Arabidopsis thaliana: one gene and its partner. The protein of the gene in region 1 interacts with the protein of each later gene in a biochemical or structural test. Each region holds a gene or a part of one and is shown on either strand. Other genes may lie near its edges.

Region 1 (6,650 bases):
TGTTCTAACATAAATTCCTTGGGTTTGTTGTTTTGCCTTCGTTATGGCATTCTTGACTCCAACAGATCCGAATGGTAAGTCCATTACAAATATTTTTCCCTTTTTATAAGTTAATGACAAAAACATTATATATATGATTGCATGTAACAATATTCAAAAATTGCAACAGCTCCAATGCTCTACAAGGGAGTTTACCATCTCTTCTACCAATACAATCCCAAAGGTGCGGTTTGGGGTAACATTGTGTGGGCTCACTCGGTTTCTAAGGACTTGATCAATTGGGAAGCCCTTGAACCAGCCATTTACCCATCCAAATGGTTCGACATCAACGGTACATGGTCCGGTTCAGCTACCCACGTACCGGGAAAAGGACCGGTTATCCTCTACACCGGTATCACCGAGAACCAGACTCAGATTCAAAACTACGCCATTCCACAAGATCTTTCCGACCCATACCTCAAGACATGGATAAAGCCAGACGATAACCCCATCGTAAAACCCGATAATGGCGAGAACGGATCCGCTTTCCGTGACCCGACCACGGCTTGGTTCAACAAAAAAGATGGGTATTGGAGAATGCTTGTTGGCTCAAAGAGAAAGAACAGAGGAATTGCTTATATGTACAAGAGCCGTGACTTCAAAAAATGGGTCAAAAGCAAACGTCCTATCCACTCAAGAAAGAAAACCGGTATGTGGGAATGTCCCGATTTCTTCCCGGTATCCGTAACCGACAAGAAAAACGGTTTGGACTTCAGCTACGACGGTCCAAACGCCAAGCATGTGTTGAAGGTTAGTTTGGACTTGACCAGATACGAGTACTACACTCTTGGAACGTATGACACCAAGAAGGATCGTTACAGGCCAGACGGTTACACTCCTGACGGTTGGGATGGTTTGAGATTTGATTATGGTAACTACTATGCGTCAAAGACATTCTTTGATGACAAGACGAACAGAAGAATTCTTTGGGGGTGGGCCAATGAATCCGACACCGTTCAAGATGATACCGTGAAGGGTTGGGCCGGAATTCAGCTTATCCCAAGAACAATCTTGCTTGACTCTAGCGGTAAGCAACTCGTGTTTTGGCCTATTGAAGAGATTGAGTCATTGAGAGGAAAGAATGTCCAAATGACCAACCAGAAAATGGAGATGGGCCAACGCTTTGAGGTCCAAGGAATCACTCCTGCTCAGGTGGATGTGGATGTGACATTCAACGTTGGAAATCTAGAGAAGGCCGAAAAGTTTGACGAAAGCTTCGCAACTAAACCACTAGAGTTATGTAACTTGAAAGGTTCGAATGTGAATGGTGGAGTTGGTCCTTTTGGTTTGATCACGTTGGCTACATCTGACTTAGAAGAATACACTCCTGTTTTCTTTAGAGTCTTCAAAGATGCCGCATCCAACAAGCCTAAGGTTCTCATGTGCTCTGACGCCAAGCCGTATGTTTTCCTAACTCACTAATTCAATTATTTATATATGATTTTTGTTAATTACAATTTGAGAGTGTCTAACATTAATCACAATAAATCAACAGTTCGAGTCTCAAAAAAGACACCGGGACTGACGCCAAGGAGAGGATGTACAAACCATCGTTTGCTGGTTTTGTGGATGTCGGTCTCCTTGACGGAAAGATCTCTCTAAGGAGTTTGGTACGTCACAAACTTAAATCATTTTACTGAATATTACTCTTGTATAGAGAAGCAAATAGGTAACATAATTGAGTGAATTTGCAGATTGATCACTCGGTTGTGGAGAGCTTTGGAGCAAAAGGAAAGACAGTGATAACATCTAGAGTGTATCCGACAAAAGCAGTAGGAGAAAAAGCTCATTTGTTTGTCTTTAACAACGGCTCACAACCTGTGACCGTAGAGAGCCTCAATGCATGGAACATGCAGAAGCCTCTGAAGATGAACCAAGGTGCAAAGTGATCACATCATTCTTTAATTTTTTCGTTGACAAATTTAATTCATTCGTTAAAACAGAGAGTCTGTCACAATATATTGTAGAAAAAAGGAACCTATTGTGTTTCTTTTACAATCAATACAATTTGTACATAGTTTATCACTACTAACAATGTATTGATCTTATATTTTATTAATGAAACACGTCTCCTAATCACATAAACGGTCATTATTTCACGATACTTGTATAGATTGGAATTAAGCAAGAATCTTCCGTAATCGATTCAGAATAATAGAAAACCAAATCCTTTTACTGACATTATCTTTTAACATAGAAAGTCACTGAAACAAGAAAAACAAACCCTATCAAAGGGAAGACAACAAAAAAAAGCAAGCAAGAGATGGGATTCTTGATAAGAGTCTCTCTACTTGATCTTCTTCTTAGGCCTCAACTGCAAATAAAAAAAGTTTGTTCAGATATCATTTCAGCTGATAAACACCAAAAAGAAACAAGTAACAAAAACAAACCTGGTTGCTGTGACCACACTTCTTCTTCCTGCAGTTGACAGCTCTTGGGTGAAGACGAGCATAGCACCTACCAAAAGATGCGAAATTTACATTAGAATAATCTCATTGAGACATCAGATCGGACCATAGATGACAAACTATCCAACAAACAAGATGTTTCAGCAATCAAAAATACAAGCTTCAACACATTTTCAAAACCATTTGCAAAAATGTACCATTCAAGAAAATCATCTGGAAAGATGAGAAATTTGACCAGCTGACAAAGTTTAGAGAATGGAAATGTTTGATATTGGGAACATTTATAACCTCAACACGCATTGTATAAGGCTTGAGAAGCTAAGTTAATTCCCATTAAAACAACTAAAACCCTAACACACTAATAAACATTTGGTACTTTGAACTATTAATCAACAAAACTACAATCTTAGGGAGAAATTGAAACTTACTTGCGGCAAATCATCTTATCCTGATTGTACTTACGAGCAAGCATCATCAAGGAAGGCTCAATAATACCTCCTCTAAGCCTCAACACAAGATGAAGTGTAGATTCTGTTTACAAATGATAACAATCCATTAGAGTTTATACAATCAGATCATCGAAATGATCAACAGAAGGATTCGGATGATTTCGTACCTTTCTGGATGTTGTAGTCAGCCAAAGTACGGCCATCTTCGAGCTGCTTTCCGGCGAAGATCAATCTCTGCTGATCCGGAGGGATTCCTTAAAGGAGAAACAAGTAAATGATAAGAGATCTGAATTTCAAAAAGCTAAAGAGAAGAATCCAGATTGAGTGAGGAAGAATGATACCTTCTTTGTCTTGGATCTTGGCCTTGACATTGTCGATGGTGTCGCTGCTCTCGACCTCGAGAGTGATGGTCTTGCCGGTCAAGGTTTTCACGAAGATCTGCATCTTTTGTGTTTCGTCTTCTCTCACGTAGAAACCCTAAACAAGGAGGAGGCGGGTTTATATATGTCAATGTACGCGTCTAGGGTTTTGCTAATATTGGGCTAGGTTACAGGCCTTTACCACAAAAGGCCCAGCCCACTTTCCAAATTTGCATTTCTACCTTATGCCTTGAGATTTGAGTGGGCTTTTAAGATAACATTTTAGATATCTCTCTCATTAAAAGACCACTTCTCGTTAGTCGAAGGTTTCATATGCACAAAACCTATGAGATTGTTGGATCTTGGTCAGGGTCTGATACATAGAGTAGCTATAACAAATCGTTTCTATCATTCCCAAGGTCCAAAGACACTACATGATTCTAAGATTTATTTGTCAAAAATTTCACCTTCTTGCTGATGATGAGGCGATTGACAAGAGCTAACCAAAAAACAGATCCAAACTTAGCTAAGTCTAAGATGGATATTATTAGATCCGGATAAACCGGAAGAAGGTCCGACAAAACGGAAAAGGAGATCCGATCTAAATCGGAAAACGAAATATGTTACAAAACAAAAAAAACAAAGATACATTCCGGTCAACCGGAAATCGAACTTTTTCTCTCTAAAAGATAAAGGTGAGATAAGAGAGAGAAAGTTTGTTTTCTAAAATTCTGTAGTCTATGTTCAATTTGTGAAATATCCCGGGATATTACAAAATTACAACCAAATAAAAATATTTTATCAACTCCAATCAAAGATTTGGCACCTAAGACTTTACAAAATCATACAGCACAAATTCAAGGTTTTTTTGTGAGATAAAATGACTACCAATTTTTGAATATCTTATGGTCATACAGAAAAAGATCCAAAGCTGTTCAGAGTTGAGACTATAACAAAGCATAGTAATTCCAAAACTCTTTTCAAACTAAGAAAAAACAAAATGAAACATTGAGAAAGCTACATAAGGAGATCCAACGAGAGGCCAAATAACTCAGAGCCTCCTTCCTCTTCTTCCACCCTTTCTGCGGGTACTGTCGGTTGGGATTGGAGTCACATCCTCTGAGGAAAACAAGAACAATGTCAGAGATTTATTCAATCAAAGATGCAATTAAACAATTACAGTTGAAGATTGCTGCTGTTTTACCAATGCGACCAATTTTCATGCCAGAACGGGCAAGGGCTCTTAGAGCAGACTGAGCACCAGGTCCAGGGGTCTTGGTCTTGTTACCACCAGTGGCACGGAGTTTCACATGTATGGCAGTGATTCCAAGTTCCTGTGTTGCATAAATATATTCACCAAATCGATTAAATATAGAAACATAAAAGATTATCAAGTTGTCTGCTTGGTAATGCAATTTCTTTGCCTTTACCTTGCATCGCTGAGCAACATCTTGTGCCGCAAGCATAGCAGCATAAGGTGAGGACTCATCTCTGTCGGCTTTCACCTTCATTCCACCTACAGAAGTAGGAAATCGAAACAGCAATTTTAGCAACCCATTGTTATTTAAGAACAATGCAATTTCCAAACAGATAAACAAAAGGAATTCCTCAAAAGTTAAACGAACAAAGACTAAAGACACTTCAGCTCACACCCTATAGAGAAGACCATAATACTAATAACAATGGTAACTAACTTAGTTCTATAAGCAGGAACATTGATGCCGTCAAGAACAAAGCAATTTCTATAAAGATATCAACGGATTCCTCGAAAAAACTTAAAAGAGCAGATACTAAGCAGAACCTTTAGGCAGTCAAGAACTTCATTTCACACTCAACAGAGACTACCGCATACAAGTTAACAAAGGGATCATCACCAAAGGATTAGAGAGTGAGAGTTGAAAGAGATGATTACCAGTGATGCGAACAAGTGTTTCCCGTCCAGACAAATCAGTCACGTGCTGCAATTGCAGATATAAGAAGTTCAGAAATGTACATAAAAATCTAACTTTGCTTGAAAAATAAAGAAGCCACTCACAATGAAAGTGTCGTTGAATGAAGCAAAGACGTGAACAACTCCAAAGACTTGCTCTCCTTCACGAACAGCTGGTCCAAGAGTCACATTCTCAACCTTTGGCTCTTTGGTCTTTCTCTTCGACTACAAAACCAAACAAAAACTAGCATTATGCATTTGCAATATCTAATAAAAACTTCTCAATTTGATAACTCAACGCTAGAGCCACACAAAAAAAATCCAATGTCTCAGAAAATTCATATGATCTCAGATCGAAATTCGAAGAATAAGGATTGCTTATTAAACATTTTCTCACTTCAGACCACCACACAATACCAGAAATGGATTTACAGATTATATATCTTCTTAATCACTAAATCCATGAAAATTAATTATAAGCTTTAGACAAACTTACCATGGTTTGGAACAGAGAGAGGTACAAAGGGAAGCTAGGGTTTCTTTTGTTGTTCCGCCTTTTACCTTTAGCTAGCGAAAGAGACGGATCAGAATTTGCTTTAATAGTCTGAATTTTTGTTAGGGTTAAAGTAGTGATTTTATGGATAATTTAATTGAGACCCAATATATATACAGACCCAACATATTACGGCCCATAAAAGTGAGCAAAAGTGCTAGTTTTTGAGCATCTTGGATTTTTAATCGTCTCTAGTCTTCTTACTGGTGTTGTGCCTCGTACTAACGTAGCAGTCATTGTCTTTCAAATCTTGTGTATAAAGTTATGAATGTGATAAGTTTATTGATGTTATTAGATCCTCCTAAACGTTTGTACATTGTTGAAAGGATATGCTAATGCAAAATTAGGAAACACAAACGGGAAAAACCGCGCATCGTCAAAATAGTTGCGATTGGATTTGCTATTTCTGCATATAGATACTGAACAGGAGTGAAATTGTAAGCAAAGACTAATGCCATTTTCGTAGCGCATCGTCTACTCGTGTGGGGAGAAGAAGTTGGGACTCACAATCTCTAGGAGTCCCTTTGGATTGTCTGTGTGTACCCAATGGCCAGAGTTACGAAGAAGATGAGTCGCAACCTTCCCTTCGGCTACATTCTGTCTCTGGTTAGCTATTGTTTCAAGCCGCTTGGTTGTATCGTTGTCCCATCGGTCACTCTTTTCTGCAATCACAAAATTTATCTCTGTCTCTTTTGGCGGGTTCTCTAGCAAAGACCAGTAAGAAGTCTCTCTGCAGTAGGAAAGTAAAAAGTCAAAATCTCGAGGAAGGTTCATAATATAATCATAGTCATTGGTTCTTAGGAAGGGAAATAAACCTGTAAGAGTTGAACATTTGGACAGCTCCGTCAAGGTTAAAGGTCCATGTCTCTGAGTCTCCAGATCTCTTGAGATTGCTGCCAATCCACTCGGATA
Region 2 (9,475 bases), on another chromosome or scaffold:
CTAAGAAAGCATCATAGACCTTCCGGATTTTTGCTATATTGTCCTGTAATCAGGGCAGCAAGGAAAACATTAACAATCTAGAGCAAATTAATCAAGTAGCTGACAGTAAAAGTTAGAAAAAATATACCGAAAGATGACAGCGACTTATGGTGTACAAATAAAAACGGAATACTCATTCTTAAGATTCAAATAGCAAACAAGTTTTGGAAACATAATCCAGATGACAAACATTTACGTCACCACGAAGGTCAGAGGACTCAGAGCAGAGTACATAGGGAAAACCGGAAAAATAAGATTCATTATGTAACTCCACACATACCTGCGCTATCCTCTCCGTCTCATCAATCAAGGCAGTCCAAGCATTAAACTCTAAAGAATTTGCCCTTACAATATTCCACAAGCGCTCCTCTTCCGTTGAGAGTGTAGAGCCTGTAACAAGAGAGAAGGAATAAGTAAAGGATTATCATCATCGAAGTTAAGATCAGGTTCTAGTGACGCCTCTTAGAATCAATATGTGCTCATACAAGCTTTCAAAAAGAAGAAGAAATTACCAGTATTGTCTCCATGCTCCGCTGCTGGAGCAGTCACAGCCACATTATCTGTTGCACTTCCGTTCTCAACTGGCGCAGTACCATTGACCAAAGAATCATTGTTGACCGAGTGTGATGCATCAACAATTGGTGCAGTCTCTTGCCCGGTCGATTCCACAGTAGCAGCAGAAGCATTATAGTCTCCATATGGAGCAGAAGTATAACCCTCGGAAACCATGGCCTCGCTGTCACCCATTACTTTCTAGAACAGACTTCTCAAACGCAGAAAACTACATTCACATAAGAACAGAATCAGTTTAAAGACACAGAAGACTGATACTAAACTCATCGAAGGATTTCATTAAATGCAAGCAAATAAGATTAGCGTAAAGCAAAATTCACTCTATCTTCCTATGAATCACAACCAGGAAAGCATGATACGAAGTTTCTACAATAGGACAAAAATCTAAACCACAACCGAAACAAAAGCAGAAACCCGACAAAAATGAGCTAATGTAAAACCCTAGTTTTGTTCCCAATTCGTAGAGACGAGAAAAGGATATGTACCTCGGGAACTAAAGAAGATGCTCGTCGCTTCTAGAACTCTTTACCAATCAGTGAATGCTATCTTCGAAAGTAGCTTCAATGTAAGAGAGCTCTCAGCTTTTGATTTTGGTGTGTTTCGTTTACACACGAAGAGAGGGGGGTATAGGGTTAGAGACGACGAACCAAAACGAAAGGCGACGCGTATCGTGTTGGTCGGCGCACACTGGAACTCAATCTGGCCCGTTAAGTAAATGGGTCATTAGATTTCTTAATGGGCCTACTGACCCGTACATTATTAAAGCCGAGGATCCCCTTTCAATTTTATTTTTCAAAGTGAAACCCTCGTCGTCGTCTCTAGTCTGAACTTTTTCAATCTCTCTCGATTTCATTCAATCAATGGCGCCTAAGAAAATCGGAGCCGGCAAAGGCGATTCGAGCATCTTGGCGAAGATTTCAAACTACGATATCGTTTCTCAGGGAAGACGCGCCGCTTGCGATGCCGTCTACGTGTCGAAGAAGCTGTTAAAGAGCACCGGGAAGGCGGCGTGGATCGCCGGTACGACGTTTCTCATCCTTGCCGTGCCTTTGATCTTAGAGTTGGAGCAAGATCATCGATTAGGCGAGATAGATTTTGAGCAGGCGAGTCTTCTCGGAACCCCACCGGTCGGTGCGATGCTCTAAAGTAACTTTAGAAACCCTAATCCGTCGATCATATCATAAATTTGATATTATCATGCTTGTTTCTGCTACTCGATTAGAAGCTGTTAGTTTCCTTCCTTGTGTAAGATTAGGTTTACTCATAAGGGATTTGATGAATTTCAATTGGCTATTTTGAAGATTGTGTTTGAGCAATCTTCTTCTAATTTATTTGGCAATTTATGATGTGGGCTGAGATTTTCTCCGTACAAGTGATTATTCTTTTAATCTCATAGCTGTGACTCACTTTGAGTGGAGCATCAATCTTCGAAATTTTATTTGGCAATCTGGTTAAGAATATAGGTAAGGATCTTTGGTAAACTTAGCTGTTTACACTTGTCTTAATTTCTCGTCAACATTTATGCCATTTAGTTCAAATTTTGATTTGATCATCACTCCTTTACATGGCAAGGCCTGTAAATAGACTGCCTAAACCTTGATGATGCTTCTTTTGTTCAGCAAATATCTTGTTAGCATCACTGCTCTTTTCGTGACAAAACCTTTGACTCCCACTTTTTCAGTTTTCAATGTGTATTTTGACTCTGTTTGCATGAAGGGTTTTGGTTTAGCTGACTTGCTGATTACTGAATCTCTTGATTTTATTCTTCCCCTATCGCCTTCACACTTGAACCAAAAGAACTATACAAAATTCTACTTTAAACCAAAAACTGAAATCATACTTGAATTCCCTGGGTTATTCAATTGTAGTAGAACAAAACGTTGTCTGTCCTGGACCCAATCGCTTAAAAGAAAAAACATATGTTGTGGGCCGTCCCATACTTGATGAAGCCCATATGATTTAAAGGAGTTAAACCAGTCAACTCGAAGGAGTAAAATCAGTCAATCATACTGACACTGCATAGAGAGAAAGAAAGGTTCACTTTTAGTTTGTCTTATTCGCCTCATACAGAAAAAGTCAATGACGACTCCCAAACGCTGCGTTTCTCAAATCTTTGAAGACTCTCCTTCGTGGAGAGTATACACTTTTCTTTCCTCACTTCGTCTTTTAAAGTTTCAAATTGTCGTCTTTCTTTGGACAGAGAGATACATTGATCAAAAATACGCTTTGCATAAGCAAATCTACCATCAGTTTTTCACTACATTCTCTTCTCTGAGGAAAGTCGAAAATCCGGTTCTCTCACTACAGAGTCTCACCCTCTTAAAACCCTAAATCAGTTTCAGAGTTGGTTCTTTTGCTTGTAAGTTCTTCTCATTTTTTCTGCTAAAGCTTCAATCTTTTCCGTTTCGAGACCTCTACTCGTTTTTTTTATTCTGGAAAATTGAAACGTTTTAGGGTTTTGGTACTTTGTTGTCCCTTCGGTTTTCCAAAAAAAAAAAAAAAAAAACAGAAAAAGTTCCAATTTTTTTGGTGGGTAATAAGTATTTGGTAATGGCTCTTCCTACATTTGTTTTTTTGTTTGCTTTCATCTCAAAATTCAGGGTCTTAGTCACATTAGTTTCGTTACACATCTAACTCTTTTACTCTCTTCTCTGGTTTCGCTCTTATTGGTGGGGCAGGAAGATGAAAGTTTCCACTTTTGTTACTTTGCTATGTTTATTTCTGAAGTTTTTTGAGGTTGGTGAGTGATTCAGCTTTGTTATTGCAGAAACTTGTTGAAAATGGCACCGAATCTTAGGATTAAGAAAGCCTGTGACGCGATGAAGCTTTTAGGAATATCAGAGACGAAAACAAGGGCCTTTCTCAGGAAACTTCTCAAGACCTATGAGAATAACTGGGATTTCATTGAAGAGGATGCTTATAAGGTCCTTCTTGATGCAATCTTCGACGAGGCTGATGCCCAGGTCTGTTTTTTCTGCTTAATCACTTTTTATTTTCTTTATTTGATTGTTTACATATTCTCACTTAGTCAGTTCTCTTTCTTTGATATGTCATATGGTAGTCCACTGAAAAAAATAAGAAGGAAGAGGAAAAGAAGAAGAAGGAAGAGGAAAAGAAGTCCAGAGTAAGTTAACTTTCTTTAATTTGATGACAATTTTCTGGTGTTTTTTGATGTTGTTTCTTCTCAAGGTTTTGATGATCTTTTTTTGTTTCTTTAGAGTGTAGCAACGAGCAGGGGAAGGAGGAAAGCTCCTGAGGTATACGACCTAAATATCTTTGTTGTTTTAGAATTTGTTATCATCATGAAACATTAACTTGTTTTTTTTTTTGGTTAAACCAAACTCAGCCTTTGGTACAAGATGAAGAGGACGATATGGATGAAGATGAATTTCCATTGAAAAGGAGGTTGCGCAGTAGACGTGGAAGAGCTTCATCTTCATCTTCATCTTCATCTTCCTATAACAACGAGGATCTCAAGGTATGTTTAGTATCTGTTTTTCGGGTTTCTTGGTCATATTATATAGCCTGTGTTTATTTTGTTTTCGGTGAAACAGACACAGCCTGAAGAGGAAGATGAAGATGATGGTGTGACTGAATTACCTCCGTTAAAGAGGTACGTACGCAGAAATGGTGAACGAGGGTTGGCAATGACTGTTTATAACAATGCAAGTCCTAGCTCCAGCAGTCGCTTGTCAATGGAGCCCGAAGAAGTACCACCAATGGTTCTATTGCCAGCTCATCCTATGGAAACGAAGGTTTCTGAAGCCAGTGCACTTGTTATCCTCAATGATGAACCCAATATCGATCATAAGCCTGTGATTTCAGGTATTGTTACATGAACTCAAGATAAAACTTAGTAATCTTTCTTTTATTGCTTTTTATGTGGTTGTGATGAGATGTTGAAACCTTTGCATTTTAACCTGATCTGTCTTTTGTGATGTTTCCTTCTGACACTTCTTTTCATTATTTAGATACAGGAAACTGTTCAGCTCCCATGCTTGAGATGGGGAAATCAAATATACATGTGCAAGAATGGGATTGGGAAACCAAAGATATTCTCAATGATACTACTGCCATGGATGTGTCTCCTTCTTCAGCTATTGGGGAATCAAGTGAGCATAAGGTTGCTGCTGCTTCAGTTGAATTAGCTTCTTCGACTTCTGGTGAGGCAAAGATTTGTCTAAGTTTCGCGCCTGCAACTGGAGAAACAACGAATTTGCATTTGCCTTCTATGGAGGATCTTCGGAGAGCAATGGAGGAGAAGTGCCTCAAGTCGTACAAAATTGTTCACCCCGAGTTTTCGGTCCTTGGGTTCATGAAGGACATGTGTAGCTGTTACATAGACTTGGCAAAGAATTCAACCAGCCAGTTGCTTGAAACAGAAACCGTATGTGACATGAGTAAGGCGGGTGATGAAAGTGGTGCAGTTGGCATTTCGATGCCGTTGGTGGTTGTTCCTGAATGCGAGATCTCGGGAGATGGCTGGAAAGCAATTAGCAACATGAAGGACATTACGGCTGGTGAAGAAAACGTTGAGATTCCATGGGTGAATGAGATCAACGAGAAGGTTCCTTCCCGTTTCCGTTACATGCCTCACAGCTTTGTGTTTCAAGATGCTCCAGTGATATTCTCGCTCTCAAGTTTCTCTGATGAGCAAAGCTGCTCCACTTCTTGTATCGAAGACTGCCTGGCTTCAGAAATGTCGTGCAATTGTGCAATTGGTGTTGATAACGGGTTTGCGTACACATTAGATGGGTTACTCAAAGAAGAATTCTTGGAAGCTCGGATCTCTGAGGCTCGTGATCAACGGAAACAGGTGCTGCGATTCTGTGAAGAGTGCCCATTGGAGAGAGCTAAAAAGGTTGAGATTTTGGAACCATGTAAAGGGCATCTAAAGAGGGGAGCCATTAAAGAGTGTTGGTTCAAATGTGGTTGCACTAAGAGATGCGGTAACCGAGTGGTGCAAAGAGGAATGCACAACAAATTACAGGTAAAACATTCACCTTAACTAACAATCTTTTACGTGTTTTTCTTTCATCTTGTTATATAAATCAATTAGTTTCCATTTTTGATCAGTCATCTTTTTTTCTTAATATCAGGTGTTTTTCACGCCAAATGGGAAAGGCTGGGGACTTAGGACTTTAGAGAAACTGCCTAAAGGGGCATTTATTTGTGAGTACATTGGAGAGATATTGACAATTCCGGAGTTATACCAACGTAGCTTTGAAGATAAACCCACTTTGCCTGTGATATTGGATGCACATTGGGGTTCTGAAGAAAGGTTAGAGGGTGACAAAGCTCTGTGTCTTGATGGGATGTTTTATGGAAATATCTCAAGGTTCCTTAACCACAGGTAATGGCTTCCCCTAAAACTCAGAACACCAATGGTGTTTCTCTCTATTTTAAACTGATGTTTCTTTCTGTCCTTTGATGTATGTAGATGTCTTGATGCAAACTTGATCGAGATTCCAGTTCAAGTCGAGACTCCGGATCAGCATTATTATCATGTAATGATACAATGACGGTCTCATATATAATCTTTTGCTCATATGTTTCTTCTGTTTTGGGGAAATTGTTTAAACTGTAATCTTTTCCAGCTTGCATTCTTCACAACAAGAGACATCGAGGCAATGGAGGAACTCGCATGGGTGTGTATAATTTCGCATATCCATTTTATATTAGGCTGAGAAGTTTCTATACCGATGAAAATGATTGTATATTCCTAATGCTTACTGATATCTTGATATACATTGATCTGATGTAACCCTTTCACATTCTCAGGATTATGGCATTGACTTCAACGATAATGACTCTCTAATGAAACCCTTTGATTGTCTGTGTGGTAGCAGATTCTGCAGGAACAAGAAGCGATCAACGAGTGAGTAATATCATCAGAGTTTGTTGATTCTGTTACATGGGACTGAGTAATATCAATCCTGCATCTCACTGACTGAATTTTTTTTACCTTTGTTATGTTCCAGAGACCATGCAGATTTTGAACAAAGCATGAGAGGCTAGTGAAGAAGAAAAGACGTGATGAGACCCTCTGTTTTTTGGTGAATGGGACTCTCCAAACCGGTCCGGGTTAATAGATTTTGTAGGTTGGGAAAAAAAGAAGCTTAAGTTGGGTATTGTGTGATCAAACTCTGTATAGCTCGAGGGTCCAGTGCCTTTTGTTTTAATTTAGAAGTTTGACCATCTTTAATTCTAAATCTCTCTAAACCACGTTCTTTTTTGTAGTAAACCATAAATTTCCGCACTGTTGAGGGCCAACGGATCCCTGATCGTAAGACTAGGAGTCTAGGATGGACAAGTTTTTACTTCTTACTTTTATCACTCAGTTTATGGAGATGGAAAGTATGATTGTATTGTCTTTGTGCATATGGTGTGTTCATCTAAAACAAGTGAAAAAAGCTAAAAAATTGCCGTTGAACAACTCTCTCACTATATATATAATCTATTTATGTATGAAATTTAATCAAAACGTGATTAACAAATTATAAACAAACAACTCTTGTCATGTTATGATCGGTGTTACTTAATTGACCATTCTACTTTTTGAATGTTATAATTGTTTGCTTAAGAAAGTAAGCTTTTACGAAAGTGGTATCCTAATGTATAACACGTATTATCTAAAAGATCAAAATAACGGGAAAAATGAGATTCTCATCGTTAACATTTTACGATTATTTTGACAAAATATGGCCAAAAGTTGTAGTAAATGTTTAACTTATTCAATTTTAAGCTGAATTGGCAGTTGAAAATAATAAGCATTTAATTGTAGTCCAACTGTGCATGATCGGTCGTATACGTGCTTTGCTGGAAAACCGAGTGTTTCTAATGACTTAATATCTATACTCTACTTATATTCAATTAAGAGATCCAAATTAATTTTCACAAATGCAGCATAGAAGAAAAAAAGAGTTTAGGATTAAAAATATATATGTGAAAATTTTTAAAAACAGTTATGAGTTGTTTTTTTTTTGTTTTGGTTAAAAATAGGTTTGAGTTGTTCATGAGCGTCATGTTTTACTTTTACCATTTCTATATGTATTTTCGTGTATATATTTAACAATATTTAAATTTTGTCGACATCTATCCTTGCCTTGCTAGCTAGCAAACCAACAAATCAATTTATTCAACGGTTTTATTTATTAAAATTAAAATCCATGTGCTGCCATTCCAACTCTTCAATCAATTTTGTCACCATAACCTTACCACCTCCTCTCTAGCTAGATCTATCTATCTTGTCCTTTCCATTTCATAATGCTAACAAGTTCTAAAAGAACTTTTGGTGTAATTTACTTTAGATTTTTGACTCGAAACTGCTATTTTCTTATATATGAATATTGTTCTTGTGATCCCATTTGATTTTTGGTGTCGATAGAGTCTACGTATATAACAATGTCTACTTTGAACATCATTTGGAAAAAAAACAAAAACAATTAGTTTGATCGTTTGATTTGAACTGTTAATAAAAGTAAGTTAAATAGCTGTTTGATTTTGATTGCATCAATTATTGGAACTACAATTATTTCACACTATCATCCAACTTGCTTCATGATGTATCCATTTCAAATCCTAAAAATTAATTTCCAACTTCATTTGTTAATTGCAATGTGTATACTATTTGTGCCGATAGTCAAATACATGATACATCTACAATTCTACATACATTATGTAATTATACACTTTGGCAAATATATCGCCACTAATCGAGGAAAACAATTGCTCATACCATCATACTTTTTTTATTTTTTTTGATAAGTTCATACAATCATACTTCTTGGCAAGTTGGCAGTTAATTATCTTTAATTTATCCAAATCTTTTAGTTTCACCCGCATATTAAGTTAAACTTTCATAATTTTGCCTCCCATAAAATGTTGGAAAGCTAGATCATATCGTGCATGAATGTATAGTAAACAACTATATATATTTTTAAAAATACTATAATGTATAATTACAACCAAATTATTATTTTATTTATGAAAAAAATAATGAAACACCAAAAACTTTGATTCAGATTTGTGTATTAATTATTTTTCTTTATTGTTAGGGCTGCCAGTTTGACTCTTCTACTTATAAAAGCCTCTTTACACACAAACACATACACACTTGTGATCAAAATCTCAAGATCCAAAACTCTTCTTTCAAACATGGACCGAACCATGTTTCTTTCCCTGACAATAGCCTCACTCTTGGTCGGAGTCGTCTCAGCTGGTGACTGGAACATCTTGAACCAACTCAGAGGACTCGGCTCATCGTCAAGCCAAAATGGTATCGTTTCTAAAGGTATCAAGACGGACCTGAAAGGATACTGTGAAAGCTGGAGGATCAACGTGGAAGTTCACAACATCAGAAAGTTCGATGTGGTGCCTCAAGAGTGTGTATCGCACATTAAGGATTACATGACGTCATCGCAGTACAAGGATGACGTGGCGAGAACCGTTGATGAGGTCATTCTTCATTTCGGGAGCATGTGCTGTAGCAAGTCTAAGTGTGACGGCATGGACGCTTGGATCTTTGATATCGATGACACGCTTCTCTCTACCATCCCTTACCACAAGAAAAATGGCTTCTTCGGGTAATTTATGAAATTCTCTATCTTACCCGGTTTAAGATAAACCAACTTGAATTGATGGGTGTTGTGTATACGTAACTGTACATATTGTTACTTTTTAGCTTTTTACTTAAGTGAATGCACTTTGGATCTGACTGAACCGGACCGGATCTCTGATTAGAGATGTGAATTTTAGATTTCGGTTCAATTTGGATTAATCTTATTTTTCTCATGCTAATGGATTAAAAACAGAGGAGAGAAATTGAACTCAACGAAATTCGAGGATTGGATACAGAAGAAGA

The links. Proteins that work in one complex are often made in the same cells at the same time.
Region 2: the proteins of UBQ1 (region 1) and SUVR1 form a complex in vitro, tested with the Arabidopsis thaliana proteins (one study listed by BioGRID).

What each region holds. Positions count from the first base shown.
Region 1 is NC_003074.8:19,502,358-19,509,007, reverse strand, and holds UBQ1 (ubiquitin extension protein 1), read right to left. Parts: upstream 3,630-6,650; 5' UTR 3,341-3,629; coding exon 3,238-3,340; intron 3,151-3,237; coding exon 3,064-3,150; intron 2,979-3,063; coding exon 2,876-2,978; intron 2,679-2,875; exon of another isoform or gene 2,637-2,678; intron 2,497-2,636; coding exon 2,430-2,496; intron 2,354-2,429; coding exon 2,327-2,353; 3' UTR 2,076-2,326; downstream 1-2,075. Other genes in the region: CWINV2 (cell wall invertase 2), read left to right, coding at 66-74, 170-1,439, 1,535-1,649, 1,734-1,928; AT3G52580 (Ribosomal protein S11 family protein), read right to left, coding at 4,307-4,374, 4,460-4,589, 4,686-4,771, 5,168-5,213, 5,291-5,410, 5,682-5,684; AT3G52570 (alpha/beta-Hydrolases superfamily protein), read right to left, coding at 6,213-6,468, 6,554-6,650.
Region 2 is NC_003070.9:1,043,114-1,052,588, reverse strand, and holds SUVR1 (histone-lysine N-methyltransferase SUVR2-like protein), read left to right. Parts: upstream 1-2,724; 5' UTR 2,725-2,971; intron 2,972-3,111; exon of another isoform or gene 3,112-3,379; 5' UTR 3,380-3,392; coding exon 3,393-3,575; intron 3,576-3,609; exon of another isoform or gene 3,610-3,673; coding exon 3,674-3,736; intron 3,737-3,830; coding exon 3,831-3,869; intron 3,870-3,958; coding exon 3,959-4,090; intron 4,091-4,166; coding exon 4,167-4,437; intron 4,438-4,583; coding exon 4,584-5,602; intron 5,603-5,711; coding exon 5,712-5,965; intron 5,966-6,052; coding exon 6,053-6,119; intron 6,120-6,209; coding exon 6,210-6,260; intron 6,261-6,393; coding exon 6,394-6,490; intron 6,491-6,593; coding exon 6,594-6,622; 3' UTR 6,623-6,991; downstream 6,992-9,475. Other genes in the region: PRP39 (Tetratricopeptide repeat (TPR)-like superfamily protein), read right to left, coding at 1-43, 320-429, 552-786; TOM22-I (translocase of outer membrane 22-I), read left to right, coding at 1,473-1,757; AT1G04040 (HAD superfamily, subfamily IIIB acid phosphatase), read left to right, coding at 8,770-9,197, 9,426-9,475. UniProt on the Arabidopsis thaliana protein: Probable inactive histone-lysine methyltransferase that acts as regulator of transctiptional gene silencing independently of histone H3K9 methylation.